Daphnia pulex: one gene and its partners. The protein of the gene in region 6 purifies or fractionates together with the protein of the main gene of each other region. This does not show direct contact. Links are inferred from orthologs where the notes say so. Each region holds a gene or a part of one and is shown on either strand. Other genes may lie near its edges. The genes, in order: nuclear factor NF-kappa-B p105 subunit-like, dolichol-phosphate mannosyltransferase subunit 1-like, RNA-binding protein 28-like, transcriptional coactivator YAP1-A-like, F-box/SPRY domain-containing protein 1-like, F-box/WD repeat-containing protein 7-like and E3 ubiquitin-protein ligase MYCBP2-like.

Region 1 (2,341 bases), about 7.5 Mb from region 6:
TTCTTGAAATTGCGCAAATGTAAGCTTTCCAGTGTATTACATGAACTCCTGATCTTGCCCATTTTCATATTTTAATAACAAAATATTTAAGTACTTTCCGTGCCTTAAAAATTTTGTAATTCTATTCATCGAAATGTGTAACATACTCGTTATTATCTTCATTTTGAAAACTACAACACGATTAAAATAACGATTACCAGTTTACCACAATTTAATATAATCATGAAGAAGCCAACAATACACAGTCGACAAGTTATTTATTTACGATTTATTTTCCAACACCTTATCTATAAAATATTTGAAAAATTTAACTAATTTGGTCTCACCGACGATATTTCATGTTATATATCATCTCAAAACAAAACAAACAAATTACGCAGTTTCCCAAAACAATAACAGATTAAACGCATATTATATAATCTTAATTGTTACCCGATGGATATAAGAAATACAGCTACAGCGCTGTTTCAAAGAAGTGAACAATTTAGTCCATTTTTTTAAACTAGCCAATACTTAATTGGTTTTTAAGTTGCCAAATAATTTTCAAGCAGCGTCGCAGCATCTGTGAATTTGAGGAAATGCAGTTTTTCCAATACGACCTGAGTCGACACTTCCCAAAGCTATAAATTCAAGAAAGAAAAATCATATGAGTTACAAATAGATAACTAGGAATTTTAAGCTCTATCATTTACATCCATATTTGATAGCAAATACGTGGTTGGACTTTGCTGCTTGTCCAAAACGGTTCGCATGCTCAATAAGAGATCCAGACTATCGGCCAACTGTTCCCATTCTTTGTTGGGAGAATCTAATATGTTAGCCAAGTCACTGATGATACGTTTGTCCAGCTCTGAAAAATGTGTGTTATTCATATTATAAAATGATGATGTGTATATATTGTAGTGAATTGGTAAATTACCTTTCGGCAACTCTTTGCTAGTCATCAAATCGATGCCCGAGTCCAAAACTCTACTATTTGAAGTAGCGTCTGATGCGGTACTTTTCCGCTCATCTTCATCCATCACCAAAAAATTAGTTTCGCAGGGAGCCAAGCTCGTTGACGAGTGCGTACCATCACGTAACACTTTAGCTATCTAAAAATCAAGTTATTAAGTTTAAAGTCAATAAATTAATCTTGATATTTTTTCCTCATTGATTGTTATACCGTTAAATTGCACTGTGCCAAATCTAAGGAACTTTGTCCTTTTTCAACACTACCATCTCCCAACAAGTGTTCGGGGTCATTTTCGTCACATTCTTCATTTTCCGACGATGCGGAAGAATTCACGTAGTTAAGAATTGAGGGATCCGCCCCGCTCTTTATTAATAAACTACAGATTTGATCAAGTTCGTCCAACACAGCCAGATGTAAAGCAGTCATTCCATCATAGCTTTGCATATTCACATTCAAAGATGTCTAAATTTAAATAAAAAACAAGGCCATAAAATTATTGCTTGAATATAAACTAATTAAGGTATAAAACAATAAGCCATGTAATTTAAGTACATGGCAGAGTACGGTAATACATACACAGCTCAGCAATAACGCCACCATCTCTTCCGATTGCTTTTTAACGGCAATGTGTAAAACTGATCTCCCGCGCTTTGTTTCATGACAGTTGACATCAGCTCCTTTGGCAAGTAGCAATTCTACGCTTTTCACGTTCATTGCGTTAACCGCAATGTGTAAAGGAGTAAGACCTAAATAATTCAACGATAATTTGGTAGCCTACTTCACCAAAGCCGCAATCAATTATTTTTAATTTATGCTTACCAGCGTAATTTATCGTATTCAACTTCAGAGCATGGGCTGGCTTCCAATTGGAAGTATTTAAAAGTAGTTGAAGACAGTCAATGAGATGTTTGTCCATTGCAGCAAGATGAATTGGGGTATTTCCGTTAGCATCCACCAATCCAGGGTTTGCTCCGCTTTGCAAAAGCAAAGCTGTAGCCTCGGTTTGGTTTTTAAGAACAGAAATGTGTAATGGTGTCAGATTTGCATTATTTTGAGCGTTGATGAAATTCAGTTCTGTGTTATGAAAGGAAGCCGCATGCAGTATAGCGCGCACAACATCGGTTTGATTGTGAATAAGAGCGTCGTGGAGTGCACTACAAAAATTGTCCAGTTAAACTCACTTATAAGTAATTTTAGCGAAAATTGGCTTACTTGTCTCCATCTTCACTTTGCATTGCCTGAAGAAGAAGAAAAAAAAAGAAACAATACAAATAAATACAAAGTTGATTTTAAAAAGGAATTCTAATGGGCATACCATAAGATGTCGCATACGAGTCAAAATATGACTCAAATCACCCGTCGTGGCGTACCAGCGAATCGCCCGGG
Region 2 (2,774 bases), on a different chromosome or scaffold from region 6:
TGAAAAAGGCAACGGGTCCCCTGTAATTTTCTCTTAATACATCCTCAAAATCGCCTCCTGTATCGTTTTCAACAGCCTGGATTGAAGAGATTAGGTAAATGGTCATTACCACGAAGAATGGGGAGAAAAGCGGCATAGCGTTTTTAGCGAAATATTTCGTTCCTTCCATTTTTTGAATTGTTGAAGATCCAAATGCACTAACTTGTTGTGGAGCGCTTACAATAAGACGCGACAGCGTCTTTTATTTATAGGAGACACGCTAGGAAACGAACTTGCAATCAGCTTATTGGGTGAAATAACCACCATAGCAGTTTATATATTTTGAAACTATTCAAGTAGTTTTAGAATTATGATAGTTCTCAATTTTACAAATGTATTTCAATAATTAGTTATTTCTATAAATGAGGGAATCTAATGAATTAGTTATATTTGTTAACCATGGTCTGTGTGTTATCTCATGGATATCATGGCTCATTCAAGAAACAACAAAAATATTTCAATAACAATTTTTAGAAGGTGTATTTTAAGTTATTGTTTGAAGAATTTTGTTAAGTAGTGGCAAACAAATACAAAAGTCCTTTGGCAAATTGGTAAATTTCATTCCCACCTAATTTTGATTCACCGTAAACCCGATCAACAAATGAAATTGGTACTTCACCAATTGTAAATCCCAATTGTCTAGCCCTTATAACCATTTCCATTTGAAAAACATACCCCTTTGATTTACAAGATTGCACCAGTTTTTCTAATACTTTTTTCTTGTACAAGCGGAAGCTACCAGTGAGGTCAGAAGCACCAGGTCTCAACAGCACTTGAGTAACATAGTTTGCACCTCTGCTAATCACTTTCCTTTTCAGGTCCCATCCATAAACTCCACCATTTCCACTGTAACGAGTTCCAGAAACCAAGTCATAGTCCTTTTCTTTTTGTTTTTCAATAAATTGGTGAATAAATTTAGGCTGCCAAGAAAATAAATGTTTTAAAATTAATGTCCCCTAAGGTTAAGTTTATAAAGATGATTACATGGTGAGATAGATCAGCATCCATGATCACAACATAATTGCCAGTAGCATGTTTGATTCCATGAATATAAGCAGTTCCAAGTCCAAGTTTCTTTTCTCGTGGCCTCAAGACCTGTGATATGACAATATTATAGCTAATTAGAAAAAAAAATACTTAGCCTAACACTACCATACAATTTTTTTATCTCCATAAATGGTTTGAAGCTGCTTTGCTACATCTAGGGTCCCATCAGGACTTCCATCATCAATTACAATAATTTCGAAATCGTATCCACTAACAAATAAAATGCATTGTTATGACCTGTAATCTTATTATGACTGCAAGCAAGTGTCAACCTTACCTGTCAGTAAAGGCTTTGACTAAGAGCCAGACAATAATTGGTAGATTGTCTTTTTCATTGTAAGTCGGAAGCAGGACACTATATTTGTCATCAGCTCCCATTTTATCGACACTTCTGAATTTGTTTTGGAAATTGACGGGACGCCTTGAAGTAATTGTGTGATTCAAACTTGTTGACGTAAGCAAGAAGCAAGGAATGTTATAAATTAAAGGTTGTTTCTCCCAGACCCATCTAGCGGATTACTGAGTTGGGGATCCCTCTAGTGGCAGTCGTATTTATATTTTCAGAAAACCATGACAGTTGCTGTTTATTAACCTTTTACGAACCCTCAAACTTTTTTCTATCCCTCAAAAATTTTACTCATGAAAGTTTTTCGGCTAGTATAAAATGTCTGTGTTAGAACAATTGATAATTGATAAAAAAATTGATAATGAGGAATTGCTCTTCTTCGATACGTTCGCACATGGTCCCACAGAGGTTTGAATCAATTCAGAAAATGTTTATTCATAAATCAATTTGGCTACAACTCAAACTTGGCGACATTTTGCAGGAATTGAATTTGGATTTGGTACAGTTTCCCAAGCCCGTGTACATAAATCAAGTGCGAGTCATACCTTTAGGCGCCAAAGTGCAAGCTGATTTCCCCGGAGGAGTGCGTTTAGGGTAGGTTACGACAGAACAAAATAAATTATAAGGATAATGTTTACATATTAACATGTATTTTCAGAGCAACGAATCCATCCCAGTTTAAGCTTGAACTATTTGTGAATGATTTGAGCAAACCTGGAGCATCTGCTTTTGAGACACTTGGTGTTCTAGATTACAATCAGAATTCTAACATTCATTACGATTCTGATAAAAAAGTAAATTGACTACTATGCATAATTAACAAACCATTTTAACCCCAAGTATATTTTACAGGTACCAACAGATGGCTTAGTTTTGAGAGGCTGGTATACCACTGTAACCCTAGCTGTTTATGGGGTTATTACACGAGCCCCAATAATCAGTATACCTCCACCACCCCCAGCAGCCCCTATCAAACCTGCTAGCCCAGTTCCAGTTGAACCAGCCCAGCCACCGGTTCCAGAATTAGCGCCAGTGTTTACAAATCAAATTATAGACGAAAAGTTACGGACTTCCACCCCTCCGTTCGAAGAAAAAGCAGAACTAATAAAGTGTGAAAATGCTTTTGTGACATCAACAGTGGTTGAATCTGAAGTAAAACGCGAGGATGAACCAGAAAAAGAAACCAAAGTGAAGGTCGAAGAAAAAGTAGTCGAGAAGGTGCGAGAGAAAAGCAGACGCAGTGATGAGTTCACACGGACGCGAGACACAAGTGACTTCCGTGAAAGAGAATGGGAATCCGATCGAACCAGCAAAGCAGATTCCGAACGTATCAATCGAAGTG
Region 3 (4,056 bases), on a different chromosome or scaffold from region 6:
TCAGTGGGTGGGCCAGACAGCAACTCTCCCACCTGAGAGACCTGTACAGCCAGCGACCAATCCCCCAGCCCCCACACGGCCCTCGTTCTCGCATCCTACTAACCCCCTGCCTGCAACGTCCGCTTCGTGGGCTGCACGTTCCCGTGCAGCTCGTACCCAACAGTGAAATAATGAAAGTATCATTTGAAGGCTTTTAAGATTTGATGGTAACAATTAAGTCATGAATATATGGATATTGTTACCGATATGTACGACCAACCCTTGTTGTAAATGTTTATCATCCATTTTCTTCCTCTGATCTTGCCACTCTTTTGCATCCCTTCCCGTTCTCCTCAGTTCTCGATTTGCTCTTCGTAACGTGTCGCAGCCTTGGAAATCGTTTTTTGAAGTAAAGTGATGAAATGAAAAAAAAAAAATTACTTGTATGTTGTCACACTTGTAAATTACGCGACAAGCTTATCGGAATACAAATGGTTTCTCAACACCAGTCTACACTTAATAATAACCCACAAGGAGAAAAGACGAAATTTTCAAGTCATCAATTTATTCAACATAAAACTTACGAATCAAACCACTTCCCTTTCTTCCCAGATGTAGCTTTAGCCATTTTAGGAGCCCCAGTTGTTACACTACCAGCAACTTTCTTTTTTGTCGATTTTGTCTTGGCAACTCCCTGGCAAGAACAATGCAAAGTTAATTTTTTATTTATGACTGTATTCCCTAAATTTACCTCTTTCTTCTTAGCGGACGCTTTGCGATTCTCGGGATTTTTAAACATTTTTCTTCGAATTTTCGGTTTCTTTGATGGAACAACTTCAGCATCGGGGGGACTAGGTCGTTTACGATGTCGAATTTTCGGTCCTCTATGCGATGGTAGTCCTTTAATTTTAGGGTCAGCTTTTGCTCCACTGAATTCTTGAACGGGTAGTTCAGCAGTCGCATTGGTAGATGCGATTTTTTCATCTTTCCCTTTTTTTACATTTTCAAGACTTTTCTGAACACGGTTCAGTTTGGCTTTTACGGCAGCACGATTCTCCACACTGAATTCCACGATAGGTCGCTAAAAAACAAAAAAATAAAATAAAAATAAACACAGAAAAGAGGAGTCTCAAGTAAATTATGTTTACCCTATCTTTTGAAAACAAAGTGGGATTGTTGTTGATATTACGCAATGCCAGTAATGCGTCTTCGTGTTTGGTAAACTTTACAAATCCATGCCCTTTGGATGGATGTACGTTTCCTTCACCAACAGCTTTTAAGTCGCGCATAATTTTAGCCTAAAATAATCTGAAGTTAATAAGATTCTTGTTATACAAAACCAAAAATTTACTGCACCTCTACGATTTTGGCATCTGGGGATGAATGATTCTTGAAAAGCTTAGACAACTTTTGATCCGTAAGTGAGGGTGGAAGATTATGGACAACCAATCGTTCCCGTGAAATAAACATGTGGAGATTTCGAAGCATTTGCTTTTTCCATAGTTCGTTTTGTTGCCTTTTCGCCATGTCAGTTGGAGAAACTCCTTGAGCGGCTAAGGTACCAGGTCTAATAACTAAAGAAAATTGTAAGATAAGCAAGAAAAAACAATCTTTAATATCTACATTCAGAATCTTACATCCTTCGCGAGCAAGAAATAGATTTCTCTTATCCTTATGTTCCTTTTTTTCAGCTTCTTGCTTTTTGTGATCGAGGTCTTCCCGAGTAACTGCAAGAGCCACGTCTAAAATGCGTCCATCTAACTGTAAATATGGATTTCGAGACTCTTCTAAACACTTTTGAGCCGATTCCGAATCCTAAAAATGGTTAATATGAAAAGTTATTAGTATGTATTTATTTTTGCAATAATGCAACTTACTCTAAATTTTACGAATCCAGTGCCCTTGGGTCTCTCCATAATTTTATCCATACACAACAATGCATAGTGAACACTGCCAAATTTTTCCATGAAATTTTTCAACGAGTCTTTTGTGGTTGAAAAGTCCAAATTTCTGATAAAAAGAGTCTTTCCTTCTGCTACATCACTCTTCTTTTCTATTTCAGAATTATCACCCTTCCAAGCTTCTTCTTTTTTTGGACTTTCTTCTTCACCGGAACCATTCTCAACTTCAGAATCAGAAGCTTCTCCATCTTGTTCTTCTTCATCATTATCTTCTTCTTCATCATTACTTTCTTCATCATCAGATTCTTCATCTTTTCTGTCATTTTTCTTCTCTGGCGGCTCAATGTTTGGAACTTCGTCAGTTTTATTATTTAAAGTGGCATACTGTTGTTTTGGTATGGCCCAATCAATAGCTATTTGCCTTCCTACAAAAAAAAAACAATTGATAAGCTATTATCAAATTTAAAATGTTAAAATTTTCTTACCAAGAAATGGTTTTGCATTGCATTCTTTGATTGCTGTAGCCGCACATGGAACTGTTTTAAATTGAACAAAACCACAGCCAACTAAAGTGCCACCAGGTTTCTTTAATAATTTCACATCCTCAATTTCTCCATATTTCTCAAACCAGTTTTTAACAGCTTCTTCTGTTGCCTGTTAATAAATTAAATCAAGTACTAACTTACTAACATACTAAAAGTAGCATAAATTAAAGTTTCTTGGCTTACTTTGAAAGATAAATTGCGAATAATTATTCTTCCTCTTTTATTGGGTGGTCTCTTCTTTGATGTGTTTGCTTTAGTAACAATAGAAGCTTCTTTTTTAACTGAAGAGTGATTCATCTTTTAAATCTATCCAAACACGTGCTTGTCTGTATAACTGATGTAGCTAGTCAAGCAGACGATTATATGTGTCAAAATGTAGCATAGACTGTTGTCAATTGGCAAAATGACAACTAATGAGGATTAACATGAATACAACAATTACTCAGAAAATAAATTTTATGTGGCTATTATTTTATGAAATATTTAATCTTACCTTTCAGTATATTAATCAAAACCAAGTTTGAAATTGTAAACATTAAATCGACGTTGCCGGTACAAGGAGTCAATCGAACCTCGTCTCCGACGCCATTCGCCCATTCCCAGCCTTTAATCAAACCGGCTTACAGTCTTAGTGAAAATTTGGACAATAATTAACTGTTTTCCTCTGCTGTGTTTCTTCTTATTGTCGTACAAAAGCTAACAATCACACGTTAATCATGGGAGAAGATAAAGATGATCGTAAAGGTATGTTTTAACTTCTCTAAACTACTTCTGTCAATATCAACTATAATGCTTTTGTAATGTTCTTAAGAGTCTGTGATGCTTAAGAAAGAAATGTTTAACACACATTACTTACAAGTAATGGGTGTTTAATGATCTGGTTGTATTTTACACATAATTTCATAACTTTTAATGGTTTATAATGTTGGCTCGTGGTTTTGCTTTTGTATGGAAATATTAGTCATAGTAGTTAGAAGGTAGTCAAGCAAGTAAACTTACTTGTTTGATTTATTAACATTTGAAATACTTTAGTTGACAGGGAGAGAGATCGTGACCGTTCCAGAGATAAGGAAAAGGACAAGGAAAGAGACAAGGATAGGGAAAGAGATAGAGACAGGGATCGTAGACGGTCCAGGTCTCGTGACAGAAAGAGAAGGTCTAAATCTAAGGAAAAGGAGAAGGAGAAGAAGCGTAGCAAGTCCCGTGAACGTGAACGCAAAAGGAGTCGTTCTCCTGTTAAAAAGCAACGCCGAAGAAAGCCGTCTATTTACTGGGATATTCCTCCTATTGGTTTCGAACACATCACACCCATGCAATACAAAGCAATGCAAGGTATAAATCCTTATTCAAGTTTCAATTTTAATGTGCTAATTATTATTTTCTTGAATCTACGTAGCTGCCGGACAAATTCCAGCTAACATAATGACGGAAGTAGCCCCACAAGTCCAAGTACCAGTAGTGGGTAACACAATCACTCGTCAAGCCAGGAGACTCTATGTTGGGAATATTCCTTTTGGAGTTTCTGATGTACGCGCAGCGGAGGAGGAAATGATGGATTTCTTCAATCAACAGATGCATTTGTCTGGTCTGTCTCAAGCTCCAGGTCATCCCATTTTAGCTTGTCAAATTAA
Region 4 (3,586 bases), on a different chromosome or scaffold from region 6:
TTTAATCACCCATTCAATTTAGTTAAGATATTTCATTGTGGTAAGCTAAGCTGTATGAAGAATGGAGGAATGTAAATATGAAGTAACAACTGAAGAATTTTTTTTTTTCATTTACTGGGTTGAGACCATGTACATAGCTATTTTCTGCTTGCTTTTATCATCACACTCGAAGACAAAACATTTTTTTAAAGAATAAATCCTCAGTGGAGAATTTTTTTTTGTTTATTCTTTTCATATTTCACATAAGTTGATAGGCTGTGTCGTATTCATGATTTCATAGGCTGCCGACTATTTGGACGAACAAGCAGAAAAAGCTGGCCGAGTTCTCCGAAAGAGAACTGCAGGAACGCGCAGCTGGTACCATAAACTCATCGGCAAGAAAACATCGGATGGTTCCGAGGCCTTTTATATTGGTTTCATCGGAGGTTCTCTGGCTGGATTATTTATTGGAGTAATTTTTTAAGCGTTAATGATTGATGCATAGACCTTAAAGACTCCAGCACTTGTAGAAAGATGTATTCATGGACAAAAGTCAACAGACAAGAGAGAAATAAATCGCATAAGGCCATTCGGAGCAACATTTTAACAGTTTCTAATTGTAATAATTCTAGTACGACACTATTCTAATTGACACTTAAAAGGCCTTGGGGAAACTAGCATGTATCAAATAAATCGAAAAGTTCGCCCGTCACCAATACAATGAAGTTATACATAGTTAATAACGTTTCCTGTAACCCCCTCAACTTCACCTTGTTAAAACAAAACGATAAATCCGAGCTACCAGATAACGTCAAATCATAAATGAAGGCACTGAAATTTAAGACATTTCTTCAAGGCATGTGTTACACACAATTTGGACCGTTTAAATTACTCGAGGTCCGTGAAAGCCAAGAGTGGTGGTGCAAAGTTAACTGTCTGCATCAGAAAAAAAAATTTAATAATAATGGAGAACGAGCGAGAAGCGCAAGAAAAATCCAGTTTTAAGGCTAGTAATCATGGCCATACAGGGGGACGGGTCACCAAGACATTTTCAAATGATATATCTCCTGCTTCGTATTCGGTTTGCGAGTGGCTTGTCAAAAACATTTGGACAGGGTATGCAGAAAGAATCATTTGACGAGCACATTTACAGGTAATTCAAAGGCATTGAAAAGGAACACACAATTTTGACCGACACACGAGGGAATTCCCAGGCATCTTATTGCTTCACACGTTTTATAGGCACGTCAGTTTCTCTCAAGACGACGATACTGGAACGGGCGCGCGACCGGACCGGGATCTCATCTTTTTTTTTTTACACCTAGAACCATCTTCCCTAGAACAAGAACCTACAGTCATAGTTGCATATATGTTTTAAAAAGTGATGGTTTCGGAATCAAACGAAACAAATATCGAAAATCTTGTTAGCTCCTCCTTCCGTTTCCCAACAATAACTCTTAATACGTAAATGATAAGCTAGTACGACAATGCATAATACGCATTGTGAGCTAATCTTCCTCTAAAACGTTTGCACTTTCAGAACCGAATTGTTTTTGATTAACTCTACCGCTAGTCGTTAGCTCTACATATTCAAAATAATTGCCAATTTCTGAATATTCGTTAAGATGAATCCCATACTAAAGGTTAAGGCCAAAATGTAAAAGTTAGTTGATCACGCCCAATGCCAAACCAATAGATGCGTAAACTTCAAGACGTGTTGAAGAAAACCATCGACGATATTGGCATTCCATAGAAGATATTTATAAATTTGGGATTCAACCAAGACGAGCTGTTTCAGAGCCAAGTAAGGACGTTGTCGACTTTGTTTGAATTCAAAAGAACGTCATTCAGGATGTCCGTCGATAACTCTTCTCCCAACTGTTCAAAAATAATTGTTGTTTTAAATCGAAATGACATTGTGAAATGTATGTTCTTACATCCAAAGTAGGTACGAGATCGTCAGTAGTGTCCATATGAGCAGGTAGATCGCCAGCCTCTAATCCTCCATTCATGTCGTTCATGTCGTTCATATCGACAGTGCCAACAGAAGCAGGACCTAAACAACGTAAACAATCCGTTACTAAAAATGTGAACTCAACGATGTGAAACAATGAATAATATAGGAAAAATTAAACTAAAATAAAAATTTAAAAATTTAAATTAAGACTAATTTTAAAAATCAAAATTACAATCAAGCGTAGTGTCCATTGTGTCATCCATAGAGGCGAGGAAATCCTCGGGTGTGTGAGGTAAGCTATAACTGCCACCCATACCCAAACCAGAGTCGGCCGACTCTTGACGAGCATGAAAGTCGGTAGCCAATGACGAAGGTGGAGCTGTCGAAGACTGAGGGATATTTGTGGCCGCTCCGTTTCCTGTTCCATTGACGCAAGTATGGGGAACGGCGGCGGTAGCAGCAGCCGACGCTGCACTAAGAAAAGGATCCACCGTGTTGGAGCTAAGCTCGTTGGCCGCTGCACTGTTGCTACTCGATTGCGTATGAAGAGGATTCCGTCTCATGGCGAACTCCGGTTGCTGTTGGGAACCGGTGCTGTTTTCTTGCTGACGGACGCGAGTTTCTCGTTCCATCTGCAATGAATTCATCAATGGAAAACAAAGATCACACAACACCTTCACATGAACTAAAATACCATGGCTATAATTTCCTGTTGTCTCTGTCTTAAACGATCCTGCTCCTGCTGAAGTCTTTGCAATCGCAATTGTTGCTGGGCAGCCTGGGCAGGCGTCAAAGTTTGCTGTGAAGTTCCTATTAAATAAAAATAAAAACATCAAATTGAATGTTTACCGTCAGCACTTCTGAGATTTGTTTTCATAAAATAAGCCTCACCTGAAGCAGCTGGCTGCTGAGTAATCTGTTGTTGTTGCTGTAAGGCGGCAGCGCTCTGTGTTCCAGCGGCGTGTACCATGGGTGGCTTCTGCATGTGAATAGCTGATGATGGAACAAACAGAAACGAGACATTAGCGTGGCGAGCAAGTGGGGAAAAACAAATAAATACAAAATAATAAAAGAAGTTGCTATTACGAAGGCGAGGATCAAACCACGAAGTCTTTCTCGTGTGATGATCAATGAAATAGAGTTCTCCTTCCGGAGTAACTGCTTGTTCCCATCCATCCGGTAGAGGACCCAAAGCTTGGGTTAAAGCTTGCTGAGATGCCGCCAAGACAGCCGCTGCATTACTTCCTGTTAATTGAATGAAAGTTACATAACCGGAAAGCCAGGAATTTGTATTGTTTCACTTACCGGCAACTGGCGCCGTAACGGCACTGAGTAAAGGTGGAGCTACCATGTTTGGTGGAGGAGCCGGTGACAACGGCTGAATCTGTTGCTGCAGTAATTTTTTCCGTGGATCCTCCCATGTTGTTGTTTGAGTCAGGTGACTGTAAAGAAGAAAAAGAAAAAACACATCAGCAAGATGAAAATCGGTAGAATGTCTGACACGTAAATAACAAATTATTTGACAATGATAAACGGCAACGCTAAACACACGCGACTAGACACAATAGTCTAGGACAAACCTGACTGAAATTGTTCGGTACCATGTTGGAAAGACCTTGGATTTGTTTCACGCTAATAGAATCAGATAAA
Region 5 (3,396 bases), on a different chromosome or scaffold from region 6:
TCCTGTCAAATTACAGATATCATCAAATTTCATATAGAACTATGATAGAATCTAAATAGACTAAAATGGAAATTCCCCGTATTTATTCCTCCAAATGATTTCAGAACACGATGAGCGAAATGGCGCCCAAAACGCCATCACCAGTCGATACCCCACACCGGTAAGTTTTCCCCCTTATTTTAAGATTTTTGCAGACATCTTCACTTAAACTTTCCAAGCTCAATGACAAATAGTATCCTCCTTTATTATCTAATTCACTTTATGAATAAAAAATAAAAATCCCCTCAATCCAAAACAAAAGAGACAATAGGGTTTACCTAAGGTTCTGGGCCAACTTTATACGATCGTCACTAGACACACACTGCTGTAGCATCAGCAGGCAGCTAGGCAAAAATGCACGAGGGGGTGATGATGGCACAGCAGGCCAACGGCTTAGTTTTTATTATATTTTTTTTTTCTTTATTTTTTCGTCCGGGGGGTTTACTGAGTGAGCGTCTTATATGTACGTCATATGAGACTGGGATTCAATTCAATTCTAACTTCTCCATGAGTTCGCTTTCTATCTATCGCAATTTGCAATGAAAAAAAAATCGATACTTTCAACGGGCAGAAATTCGAAATTCAAACAAACTCGTGACCTTGGGTCGTTGGGTGAGAACAAAAATATGAACAAATGATTTTCGATTTTCCTTGCTCGTTTAATTTCTCCTTTTCTCTTTTTCAAATATTCATGTAAAATACTAAGTAGCGCTAAAACATGAAGGAGAAAGAGGAAATTAATTAAGCGCAGGCAAGTGTTCAGCGATTTCGTTATTTTATTTTATTAATTTCTGAAATATATTTTTTTTATTTCGCTCTTTTAAATTGGTCTATTTTTTTAATTTGGCTGTTAATACAGTTATCGTAATAAATGTATCGTAATAACTAAGTGCTAATTTGATTAATTTCATGGGAAAAGCGTTAAATTTTTATTGAAATCGAGCATGAATATGAATGAAATCATAAATCAGAAGGCTAAGTAAAATCAAACGTCGTCTGCTTTTCCGGATACGCGGGAACCATTTCAAACATAAACTAAAATATTATTTTATCTTAAAAACTAGTAAAAAAGTAGTTTGATATTAATATATCGTTTTTTCACAGGTGTAATTCAGTGTTTTATCAAGTTGTTTAGATTCTCATAATTTTTGTTCGGTTTTCTTATTTCAGATCAATTGCTATGGCAATGTGGCAACACCGGTTCTGCCATAGAAGTATTGTCAATTGCAGAAAAAATCGAAAGAAATTTCCTAAATGAATGTTGAAGTGTTTGCGAGCCGGCGTTTAGAATGCACGTGGATATACTACCAGATATTATACTAGGAAATATTTTCTCATATTTGCCGCTGCAGGATTTAAGAAGCAGTTCGTTGGTGTGCAAACGGTGGTACAGGTACAAGTTTTCTTGAAATCAACACCAGTTTGTGACTATTCGCTAGTGATCTACCGTTGCTAACAAAACCAGCGATTGTTTGAAACTTATGTTCTCCTTGCACATTATTATTTGAATCAGTATACTGAATGATGAGGACAATGATGTCTGGAGACTGCACTGCATACGAAAACTGGCAGAAGAAGTCCTGAGCTCAGACCTCCTATCTTCCGCTCCTACCTACAAAACAAAATTAAAAGCATTTCACCATGCTTGGAACCCAGAAGACTGCTCTAGAAACATTTATATCAAACCCAATGGTTTTACCATACACAGAAACCCTGTTGCACAGAGTACAGATGCTGTGAGAGGTAAAATTGGTGAGTACTAAATATTGTAGATGCCTGTTGCAAGTGTACATATTAATCCATTCAACTAATGTTTGTGCAGGATTCAGTCAAGGTAGGCATGCCTGGGAAGTGATGTGGGAAGGTCCTCTTGGAACAGTTGCAGTTGTTGGAATTGCAACTAAAGAAGCAACTCTCCAGGTATAATTGTGTTAAAATTTGAATATTTTATCTAAAAATAATTGTCAAAATCCATGTTCACAGACACATGGATACATAGCTTTACTAGGATCAGATGACCAAAGTTGGGGTTGGAATTTGGTTGATAATCATTTACTTCATAATGGAGATTCCCAAGGCAATTACCCAATGCTGAACAATGCACCTAAATACCAAGTGATTGAGTCTAACCAATGAATGAGTTGAATCAACCTAACCTAAAGTTTTGTTGCAGGTTGGGGAGCGGATACGAGTCATTCTTGACTGTGATGACAATACATTAGCTTTCGAAAGAAACTATGAATTCCTCGGAGTGGCGTTTAGGGGCTTACCAGAGAAGCTCTTATACCCTTCGGTGTCGGCAGTCTATGGGCACACAGAAGTCTCAATGGTCTACCTGGGTCCTCCCTTGGATGGCTAACTGTCGCCTGTCCCCCTCTCCTAAACAGAAAATTTCTTTGTGTGAATCAATTTCTACAGGCAAATGCGTTTTGCCAACCAAGAAAGGATGTTGTTGTAAAAGAATCCCAAAATTCAGTGTACAAAGGTTGCGTTGGGAATACCGCTCTGACTTAAAACATTCCCGTATTTTCCCATTCTTCATTTATTTATTATTTTTTTTTTTTTCATGATTTCCCTGGTGTGTGTCAGATTATTGTAGTGTGTTACAATTCAAATTTCGTGTGGTTGTGTTTTCACGTTCAACCGAAAACCAACAAATGGTTAATCGTCCGGTCTGACTGCTACTTGCGAAATAGATTTGTATAACTTAAAATTTCCCTGTGTATGTTTGTATGACTTGGGACTGGTGATGATGCTAAAGAATAACTGAACCTCTTACTGCCCAAAGTTTGGCGTTTTGAATAAAAAAATCTAATTCGTGTTTAATTACTCGAATAAATGAAAAATGACTTGTCTACACTGCCTTTATTTAATTTTATAAATAAGCATTATTCAAACACTTAAAGGTGTTAACCAATGAGTAAGGAATCAGGTTTTCTAAGTACTCCTACATTTACCATCGTATACGAATGGATTCGATCGTTTAGGTTTTTTCTAGCCTCATTACTACTTCATGTGTGATTTTTTCTCTTCTAACGCTTCTAACTGAGAAATGTACTGATGGGCACTTGGATCCTAGATTTCTAGCAACATATTGGTCAAAAACTGTCTTGAAGGTCAAACAAAAAAGTTTGTTTAACTGTATTTCCATTACGCTCATCAAATCGAACGACGATCGAGTAAAGGCTTTAATGGTTTTTCGCATGTTGAATTAATCAAAGCGCAAAAGCAATATCATTCCAAAAATAGGTCAAAATCAAAGAAAGTTTCGTCCCCTCTTTTATGGTTTATTGTGTACGTTGACCTTCATCAACCTCATAAAGCGAAGTGTAAGTGTCATGTACCACCGGAATTTTC
Region 6 (4,083 bases):
TTTGATCAAGGAAAACAGTTGAATTAGTAAGAGTGCTTGCTACAAATATCTGATAAAAAGACTGACTTATTTCCGTGTAAATGCATGCAACGGACAGTGGAGGTGTGGCCGTATAATGTGTGCAAACACTGTCCAGACTCAGCGTTCCAGACTTTTAAGGTTCTGTCTGTACTCCCGCTGACTATAATATTTCCCTGCATTTGAGAGGACCAAACGCCTCCCGTATGTCCCTGCAGAGTCCTCATGCACTGTTGAGTGAAATGACAATTAAATGGTTGTCTGTTCTTAAGACATTTCGCGTTTTTAAAGTCTTTGTCCTGTCTAGGCAGAAAGCCCAATGAATTACCTTTCCCGTAGTAGCCGACCAGACTTTGAGCGTGTTGTCATCCGATCCCGAAACGATGCGGTTTCCGCAAAACTGTAAGCAGGTGATGACGTGATCGTCATGACCTTTCAATACCCTTGGCTGTGGGATCGGCCTCACTCGCCAATTCAACTCAATATTTCGGTGACGCATATAAGTCGCCTGAAAATGCAACGAATCAATATTATCTTGCAACCTATTAACGTTTAAGCCAGATTGATCTATTCACCTTCCAGGGTGACGGAGTAATAATTGGTGCATTGTTTTGGCTAGATCCGGTGGGGGAAGAAAGACCACAACTGAGAGATGAGTGGTGGGAAGATCCGCGAAGACGTCGCTTATTTAGAGTATCACGAACGTCATCGATACCCGCTTCACGACATTTTTCTCGCCAGAGGAGATTATCTTCAGCCAAGACTCTCCAACAACGGCAGGTTTGTGCGGCGCGAGTCAAGTCGCGAGGCGTGAGGAAACTGAGAACATACAGAGCCAGTTCTTTGGGCAGCAGCGATATGAAATCGCGTTGGAACTGTGGTTCAATAACAGCCATCATGTGACGGACCTGAGTGGGTTCACACAGCTCTATCAGTTGGTCAATGGCACATAAACGCTCAGCGTTCGACCAGTACTGCAATGATAACAAATGGTTTTTCTTAGCAATGAGTTAGTGGTTGAGAGAATGACGAAAAATACTTGGAACGTGTGAAGCCACTGGCAAAATCCTGGCGGAGGATTGTCTTTCGAGGGAATCGGATTACGGTGAACATGGCAGTAGATTGACGAGGAAGATGAATCAACACCTTCACCCCTTCGACATGTTTTTTTCTCCGTGGCTACTTCAGCTGCCATCTCAGCTGTCGACTCCGACTTGCGCTTGGTCTACAACACACCACCTTAATTAAATTCATGTTCTTAATAACAAATAAGTGTTGGATAAACTTACAGCTCCTGGTCTGGCGACGTCATCATTCTCCGAGGTGGGTGATTCCTCTTTAACGGATACATTGCTGGCGTCGTTGGCAGGAGCAGTAGGTGTCGATGATGTAGGTGTTGTGGGGAGAGGAGGAGGCGATTGAATGATGCTATCGTTGCTCCGAGTCTGTCGAAGCGAAGGCGATTTGCCAACGGGCAGTGGATTTATTCTGCTTGTTGACCGGCGCTGCCTCAAACGGCAAGCACCCCATTCGTTGCTGCTGCTACTTCCACTGTCGTTTTGCTGGTCTTCTGTCGCGTTATCACTTGAACTAGATATCACTGGTGTGGTGCTCGGAGTCGGTTGAGCGCTTGTATTATCACTGCTTCTAGGGCAACAACAAAACATGTTTAGAATCAAATGACGCATTTTTGCCTAATCCAAAGAACAAAGGCTTAGATAAGAGTAACAATAAAGAAATATACCTACACTAATAGCAAAACCATGAGAAGGGGGTATAAATTTAGTATTGTATAACACTATTTACCTGCTCCGAGTGTTGGCTTTTCTTGCATTCACCTGAGACGACTGAGCTGGTACTGATATTGTTAGTATCTGACGATTGGCTTCAATCAAATTTGTCCCCACACCTGGAGCCAGACTTAGATCTTCGATGGATGTAAATCCTCCAAGGGACTACAAAGGAAAAACACATGTCAAAACCATATAAAACACACTGGTGTTGGGTTAATCCTAAACTTACATTTCTGGTTTCCACAATGGCTTCAGCTCTGCTGCGTCCAACTCCAACCAAGGTGGAAAGCTCTTCAACAGTAGCCACATTGATGTCTACCAGGTTTCTCTGAGCTAGACTTTCATTAGCAGTGTCGCCCATGCCCCTCCCACTACTCCGTCCTCTGGACGCTGGCATAAATTATTTCTGCTGGGTTTCTGACTGCTACGTAAGCTAGAGATTGAGAAGCTGAGCTATTACTAGGAAACCAAAACACAGCTGCCTAGACAACAACTCATATCCTCAATTAAACACTAGTCATCTCATCTGCCAAGAAAGAAGATTCAATGTTGTTAATAAAGGTTTCTTTTTATAACAATAATGAAACAAAGCAAGAATGATTCACACTTACCGTCGATAAAAATCCAGTGAAAAGTGCAGCGAAAATTATAATGGCGTTACGAGTCAAAAAGTGCAATCAAAATAAAAGTAGAATCTTTTTAATGATATGGGCGAGGGCTTGATAGTGTGTAGTGTTTTGGGAACAAGGGCAGACCTTTAAAATGCGATTTTGAAAATATTCCGCAAGCACGGGTGGGCAAAAACAACTTAATCAAATAAAGGATTTAAAATAGAAAAAATCTAGCACTAAAATGATTCGGGCATTTCGATTTCACAAAGAGCGTAAATATAGAAAAAAATTTGTACACGAGGATCAGCATCAAAGAGAATTTTGTTTCACACGAATGGTGAAGCCGAGACAGACAACGATATATGCTGGACTAAAAAGCGTTGCCAAATTGCTTGTTAACATTTCCCAGTTGCTGGACGCGCCCTGTGGTCGTCATCACATGCGCTTTTTTCTTTATTTCGCTTAGAATCTCGTAGCAAAACCCACTTGACACGTTTACAGTGTTACTATCGAATTTATAGTGGTAATTATTATCCTTTTTTAAACAACAAAGCTAGGCGGTTTTTTAAAGGCCAATACGTGGGCCTACCTCATTTCATCTTTCCCGCCTTTCTTTGTACATACATCCCCCACCCTTAATAATATTTTTGTATTGCATTACTATCAAAGAGTATTATATCATATTTTTTTTTAAGTTTCTAACTGTTCAGTTCTTGAAACTTCAACGGATCATCATCGCTATTCATCGTTCCCCCTCCTGAAATGTCCCCCTTGAATCTCTTCATACCATCAGCCCTTTACAGATCCAACTGAATTAAAGCCACAATTTCAATAACAATGGAAGTTTTGGTGCAAATTGTTTCTCAAGCATTTCAACTCTGTTGAAAACGTTACTGCGTAATGTTGAGTTCTAGTTCTCTCATACGGTTGGACGAAAGTTGAACCCGATTCAACCAATAGCCAGTTAAGTATTCATCCAACTAAATTGTGTATCTATATTTTTGTACACATTATAGCAGCTACGCAGTGTTAAAGGGCGCCCGAATCTTGCTTTTTCTAGCTATCGCTAGATGACTCGCGATGAATTATAAACGTTCGATATAAGAAATTCAAACTGCTACTTACGCGATATCTCGCAGGTTTTTTAAAAGTTGAAGGTTCGTCCTCATTAATAATATAATTGTAACAAATTTTCGTTTTTCTCTGATTGTTACAATATTCAATTCCGTTTATTGCCCCATGACATTCAAAATTTCTCGGATTCGGAGTGATAGCTGCTACCGTATTAGCATTAACTTTTCAAAAAGATCATTAGTAAGCGCAGCACAAAACATTCGGTGATCTTGTGTTGAATGTTGAATTCGCTCTTTCATCGGGCATTATCGTCGCTTCCCCAGTCATGAAAATAGGTCGCTCATTGAATTGCCAAGAAACTTTGATGCACATTTTGTGTGGGCATTGAGAAATCTATATATTTTTTAATAAACCAGCAATTGGTCTTTGACCGGTTCATTTAAGTGCAGAAGCACCGGATTGAAGAGGTGTGAGGTTAGGCGCGCCTATTTAAACAATGGAGTCGTCGTTGCAGCTAACGAACATACGTTGCGTCATTTGATAGTGTTCGATTGTGAATGACGAACGAGACCAACATGCGCTACGGT
Region 7 (3,500 bases), about 720 kb from region 6:
AAGCTAGAATTAATTTCCATATCAACTGAGGAATCCAATTTGGATCTAACCTGAATGCCTCCTTCGCCACAATTTCCTACCCAGCCCCCGCAGTACTGTCCGTCGGGGTTGTAACCCAATCCAAGGGCTGGCTTCTGACAGCCTGGATGAGCTTGTCTCATGTGAGCGGTTACAGGCACGGCAAACAATCCGCCGCATAGTTCACAGTTAGATTCCGGTCGGATGCTCTCTCTACGGGACTTGCGTTTTCGCTCTTTATCGCGTGCATCTCTGTTTTCAGTTTTCGGTTTAGCCTTGGACACGCTCTCATTCTGGAACTGGGCGACACTGAGCGTCGAGGATGAAGCCGTCGGCTCAGACTGTATCAACTCAACACAACGCCCGCTCATCTTTTCCCAAAGTTCGACCAGGAGGCTAAGTGTTGGAGTTAAAGACGATGCCACTTTGTTGTCAGGAACATCCGGTTGTATCTGATGATTGCTTGCCGATTCCCCTCGTTCCGTGTTCCAACTCTCTTCTAACGCTACCGGCAGTGGAGATGCAAACGGCCCTGATAGCATATTAGTAGAAAAGATTTCGACCGAGTGCCGTTGGCGCGCTTTCTCCTCTCGTGTCTTGCGATGTCGAGGATCTCCGCGCAGTGGTACAATCGGGTCCACTTGCTTGGGTAAATTGGGATGAAACTTCAAGAAGGAAGCGCAAGCCATAGCGTCGTGAACCAATCCTTGATGCCAAAGGTTGGCGGCGAAGACAGCGCGCAGACATTCGGCCGTAGAGGGACTCATGCCAACGCGAGCTATCTCTTGTTCCAGCATCAGAGAGCGCCCACCAATGTGCTGGCCAGCGGTTGGTGATCGCGATTTTCGGCTTCTTGTTCCACCACGCGACGCTCGCTCTTTGGTACGAGATGCTTTTGGGGACAACCGCTGAGGTGAGCGGGTCAAGTCAGATATCAACTCAGCACCAAGATTAAACTGATTGGTTTTGTTGGCTTCCGGACTCGTCTGAGTTCCCATTTGTGTAACGTTTTTAGCCTGGGATTAAAAAAATAATAAAGAAAAAATGACTTCACATGAAAGTGTTAACATTTTCTTAAAATACCATAACTGTGATGACTGATTGATCCACACTCTGCGACATTTGCGTTGCTGGACTCAAACTTCGGCTACGTTGAGTATTTTCTACTTAAAATAAGGGGCAGGGAGTAAAAAGTCAAAATTATCTGTAATGCTTCTAGGTTACGGTAACTAACCTAATTTTACTGTACCAGAAGAGGGAAGCGAACCGGAAGGTTTTGAGCAGCCTCCTGGTGACGAATGAGCCGATAGCGAACGATTCACCACCGCGATAGCTCCGGTCTTCCGACTAGGAATGGGGCTGGAGGAAGGTGAAGCGTTACCGTTAGCTCGGCTCTCGCCCATTACTCGAACCATATCCTTAACCGATACTCCTTGCAATTCAGGTGGAAAATTCCTGGGAAAACCAAATATATTGACAAATTTCAACAAAAATGTAACAAATCAATGATTAACGATGCGAACCTTGAACGAGGTGGTGGACTAGGCGCCTCTTTAACTAATGATCCGTCACGTCTCAGCCAATTTTGAAATGCTGAGAGTCGCCCTACAGCAACTGCAGCAAACGGGCCACAAGATCCAACCAAAGCTCCGGCATCTTCTACGCTTGATTCCAATGATGCTTCCTGTTTAATTAAACGTTGTTCAATTATTCCAGCAACTAAAAATAACTAGTTTTCATTTACCTGCACATGAAGTGACGCCGTTGATTCAGATGTACTTTGGACATTTGATTTTGGAGACTGGTCGATCTCGCCTTTCGGAGGCGATTTCTGTGAGGAGGTCGGTCGAGGAAATTCGGAGTCTTTGTCTATGCCAAAAATGAAAGTGCTTACGGGCTCTGGAGACGAGAAGGCCGACAGATTAGCCTGTCGCTCAGCACTCTCGCTAAAATCGTAAGCCGGCTTGAGTAATTGTGCCGGACTAGATTTATCTGAACCTGCTGAAACTAGAAAACAACAGTAATGAATAACACTGATTGAACCTTCCTGTCCATGTTTCAATAAATTACCAGATAGAACCTCATCTTCGTGGCGGAGGTAAACCATTTGATGACGATCAACAGCAAGTGACCAAGCCTCCAGTTCGTTATTTGAACAGAACTGACGAGCGGAAGAGGGTAAAAGCTTTACCCATGCTCCCTCCGAAGTTTGTCGCTGTTTAAATAATTTCAAGATGAAAATTTAAAAGCTTATTAAAGTAATGGAATCATACTGAATACCTGCTCAGTTACTAAAAATGAGCTGCCAAGTTTTAATTTTCCGACCGGCAAAGCTTTCAAACTGGGCAGTGCTCGAATGTTATGTCCAGAAGCTCCACAGTCAACCACATAGAACGTCTGCGCCGAACTGAACACTTTTTCTTCTTTCTTATCACTGTGATAATAAACAAAAGTGTTAATTTCATTTTCCGAATTAAATTGCTCACAAAAGTACCTATCCGCTTGACTGTTTTTATGGTGTGAGGGCGGGTCGTCACCCATCTCGTCTCCTTCATTCTGAGTAGTACTGATGGGAAAGAGCAACGTCTTACTGATGTGCTGGTTGTATTGGAGGCACCATGCTTCTGAATATGGATTAATACACCATTCCCTGATAGATTCCGTGCTCAATCGTAACCAAGTTCCGTCGTCATTACACAACTAAAGAAAAAGAGAATGCAATGCTGACATTCATCAAACATTACAATATAAAATATTTTGATTTCAAATACCTCTTCAATGAATGAGATGGTTCCTTCGCATGCTACAATCCCTATTTGTTCCCCTTGAAGTGAAGGCTGAGCCCGCACACGCAAACCAGCACTTGCTCGAGTTCGGAATTGACGTAGCCGATGAGAAGGTGACGAATTGTTCCTTACTGTGACGTTGTGGGAGGGAGGTAAAACTCCTTGTGGTGGCTCTTTCACGTCGACTTTGTAAACTTCATCAAGCGGGTAGCCGTCGATGGTTACGTGAATAGAATAAAGTCCAGCAGCACTTGGTGTCCAGTTAGCACTGTAAGAGCCATCAGCGTTGGGCCGAACAAGCATTGTTTCGCTAGTTCTTCGCTTGATGGGTGACACGAATCGGAGCTCCTCAAACGAGTAGTTTTCATAGGCCTGATTTACAAATTCGTTTCAGACCAGTGCAATCAGTTAAATAGTTGATTTTTACGAACCTTAAGAAATGTGATGGCGTGAAGGCACATTCTATCTTTCGTGGTAACATCATATGGCACATCAAGAACTGGTTCGAGATGTTCATCGCAATTTTTCTCGTCTCCCGAGTAAAGCCGCTTGGTTGGTGATAACAAAGCATCGTTGGTCGTCTGCGTAAGGTCACATGGAACCGCTCGAATATTTACCTGAAACAGAATATAGATAAAAGACAGGTTAAACTACTAACCCAGCATAAGTATATGCAAATCACACCTTGAGATTGGG

Evidence for each region.
Region 1: the proteins of F-box/WD repeat-containing protein 7-like (region 6) and nuclear factor NF-kappa-B p105 subunit-like purify together in Homo sapiens (affinity purification with mass spectrometry; 7 studies listed by BioGRID and IntAct, with this or other methods). This does not show direct contact. The link is inferred for Daphnia pulex from reciprocal best matches to the Homo sapiens genes FBXW7 and NFKB2.
Region 2: the proteins of F-box/WD repeat-containing protein 7-like (region 6) and dolichol-phosphate mannosyltransferase subunit 1-like purify together in Homo sapiens (affinity purification with mass spectrometry, with the first as the bait; 3 studies listed by BioGRID). This does not show direct contact. The link is inferred for Daphnia pulex from reciprocal best matches to the Homo sapiens genes FBXW7 and DPM1.
Region 3: the proteins of F-box/WD repeat-containing protein 7-like (region 6) and RNA-binding protein 28-like purify together in Homo sapiens (affinity purification with mass spectrometry, with the first as the bait; 3 studies listed by BioGRID). This does not show direct contact. The link is inferred for Daphnia pulex from reciprocal best matches to the Homo sapiens genes FBXW7 and RBM28.
Region 4: the proteins of F-box/WD repeat-containing protein 7-like (region 6) and transcriptional coactivator YAP1-A-like purify together in Homo sapiens (affinity purification with western blotting; 4 studies listed by BioGRID). This does not show direct contact. The link is inferred for Daphnia pulex from reciprocal best matches to the Homo sapiens genes FBXW7 and YAP1.
Region 5: the proteins of F-box/WD repeat-containing protein 7-like (region 6) and F-box/SPRY domain-containing protein 1-like purify together in Homo sapiens (affinity purification with mass spectrometry; 4 studies listed by BioGRID and IntAct, counting the BioPlex papers as one, with this or other methods). This does not show direct contact. The link is inferred for Daphnia pulex from reciprocal best matches to the Homo sapiens genes FBXW7 and FBXO45.
Region 7: the proteins of F-box/WD repeat-containing protein 7-like (region 6) and E3 ubiquitin-protein ligase MYCBP2-like purify together in Homo sapiens (affinity purification with mass spectrometry; 6 studies listed by BioGRID and IntAct, counting the BioPlex papers as one, with this or other methods). This does not show direct contact. The link is inferred for Daphnia pulex from reciprocal best matches to the Homo sapiens genes FBXW7 and MYCBP2.

The regions. Positions count from the first base shown.
Region 1 is NC_060019.1:4,989,240-4,991,580, reverse strand, and holds the end of nuclear factor NF-kappa-B p105 subunit-like, read right to left. Parts: coding exon 2,271-2,341; intron 2,194-2,270; coding exon 2,168-2,193; intron 2,110-2,167; coding exon 1,775-2,109; intron 1,702-1,774; coding exon 1,532-1,701; intron 1,418-1,531; coding exon 1,166-1,417; intron 1,095-1,165; coding exon 920-1,094; intron 851-919; coding exon 693-850; intron 621-692; coding exon 525-620; 3' UTR 501-524; downstream 1-500. UniProt on the Homo sapiens protein: NF-kappa-B is a pleiotropic transcription factor present in almost all cell types and is the endpoint of a series of signal transduction events that are initiated by a vast array of stimuli related to many biological processes such as inflammation, immunity, differentiation, cell growth, tumorigenesis and apoptosis.
Region 2 is NC_060020.1:7,388,067-7,390,840, reverse strand, and holds dolichol-phosphate mannosyltransferase subunit 1-like, read right to left. Parts: upstream 1,600-2,774; 5' UTR 1,465-1,599; coding exon 1,364-1,464; intron 1,297-1,363; coding exon 1,197-1,296; intron 1,135-1,196; coding exon 1,024-1,134; intron 960-1,023; coding exon 549-959; 3' UTR 501-548; downstream 1-500. Other genes in the region: protein virilizer homolog, read left to right, coding at 1,751-1,840, 1,914-2,026, 2,091-2,226, 2,285-2,774. UniProt on the Homo sapiens protein: Transfers mannose from GDP-mannose to dolichol monophosphate to form dolichol phosphate mannose (Dol-P-Man) which is the mannosyl donor in pathways leading to N-glycosylation, glycosyl phosphatidylinositol membrane anchoring, and O-mannosylation of proteins; catalytic subunit of the dolichol-phosphate mannose (DPM) synthase complex.
Region 3 is NC_060018.1:5,214,750-5,218,805, reverse strand, and holds RNA-binding protein 28-like, read right to left. Parts: upstream 2,801-4,056; 5' UTR 2,723-2,800; coding exon 2,609-2,722; intron 2,535-2,608; coding exon 2,366-2,534; intron 2,306-2,365; coding exon 1,857-2,305; intron 1,795-1,856; coding exon 1,617-1,794; intron 1,554-1,616; coding exon 1,336-1,553; intron 1,278-1,335; coding exon 1,128-1,277; intron 1,061-1,127; coding exon 731-1,060; intron 674-730; coding exon 560-673; 3' UTR 407-559; downstream 1-406. Other genes in the region: casein kinase I-like, read left to right, coding at 1-166; splicing factor U2AF 50 kDa subunit-like, read left to right, coding at 3,142-3,169, 3,458-3,757, 3,822-4,056. UniProt on the Homo sapiens protein: Nucleolar component of the spliceosomal ribonucleoprotein complexes.
Region 4 is NC_060025.1:6,891,490-6,895,075, forward strand, and holds the end of transcriptional coactivator YAP1-A-like, read right to left. Parts: intron 3,379-3,586; coding exon 3,242-3,378; intron 3,182-3,241; coding exon 2,828-3,181; intron 2,747-2,827; coding exon 2,631-2,746; intron 2,569-2,630; coding exon 2,169-2,568; intron 2,036-2,168; coding exon 1,917-2,035; intron 1,858-1,916; coding exon 1,774-1,857; 3' UTR 501-1,773; downstream 1-500. Other genes in the region: FUN14 domain-containing protein 1A-like, read left to right, coding at 281-463. UniProt on the Homo sapiens protein: Transcriptional regulator with dual roles as a coactivator and corepressor. Critical downstream regulatory target in the Hippo signaling pathway, crucial for organ size control and tumor suppression by restricting proliferation and promoting apoptosis.
Region 5 is NC_060023.1:5,716,068-5,719,463, reverse strand, and holds F-box/SPRY domain-containing protein 1-like, read left to right. Parts: upstream 1-1,232; 5' UTR 1,233-1,328; coding exon 1,329-1,432; intron 1,433-1,552; coding exon 1,553-1,791; intron 1,792-1,861; coding exon 1,862-1,959; intron 1,960-2,022; coding exon 2,023-2,154; intron 2,155-2,212; coding exon 2,213-2,398; 3' UTR 2,399-2,896; downstream 2,897-3,396. UniProt on the Homo sapiens protein: Component of E3 ubiquitin ligase complex consisting of FBXO45, MYCBP2 and SKP1. Functions in substrate recognition but also plays an important role in assembly of the complex.
Region 6 is NC_060019.1:12,536,013-12,540,095, reverse strand, and holds the start of F-box/WD repeat-containing protein 7-like, read right to left. Parts: upstream 2,801-4,083; 5' UTR 2,423-2,800; intron 2,338-2,422; 5' UTR 2,209-2,337; coding exon 2,041-2,208; intron 1,974-2,040; coding exon 1,825-1,973; intron 1,666-1,824; coding exon 1,308-1,665; intron 1,244-1,307; coding exon 1,058-1,243; intron 993-1,057; coding exon 594-992; intron 527-593; coding exon 347-526; intron 249-346; coding exon 67-248; intron 1-66. UniProt on the Homo sapiens protein: Substrate recognition component of a SCF (SKP1-CUL1-F-box protein) E3 ubiquitin-protein ligase complex which mediates the ubiquitination and subsequent proteasomal degradation of target proteins.
Region 7 is NC_060019.1:11,812,375-11,815,874, forward strand, and holds part of E3 ubiquitin-protein ligase MYCBP2-like, read right to left. Parts: coding exon 3,489-3,500; intron 3,422-3,488; coding exon 3,236-3,421; intron 3,177-3,235; coding exon 2,790-3,176; intron 2,719-2,789; coding exon 2,513-2,718; intron 2,453-2,512; coding exon 2,299-2,452; intron 2,234-2,298; coding exon 2,089-2,233; intron 2,026-2,088; coding exon 1,763-2,025; intron 1,703-1,762; coding exon 1,542-1,702; intron 1,474-1,541; coding exon 1,253-1,473; intron 1,185-1,252; coding exon 1,102-1,184; intron 1,035-1,101; coding exon 51-1,034; intron 1-50. UniProt on the Homo sapiens protein: Atypical E3 ubiquitin-protein ligase which specifically mediates ubiquitination of threonine and serine residues on target proteins, instead of ubiquitinating lysine residues.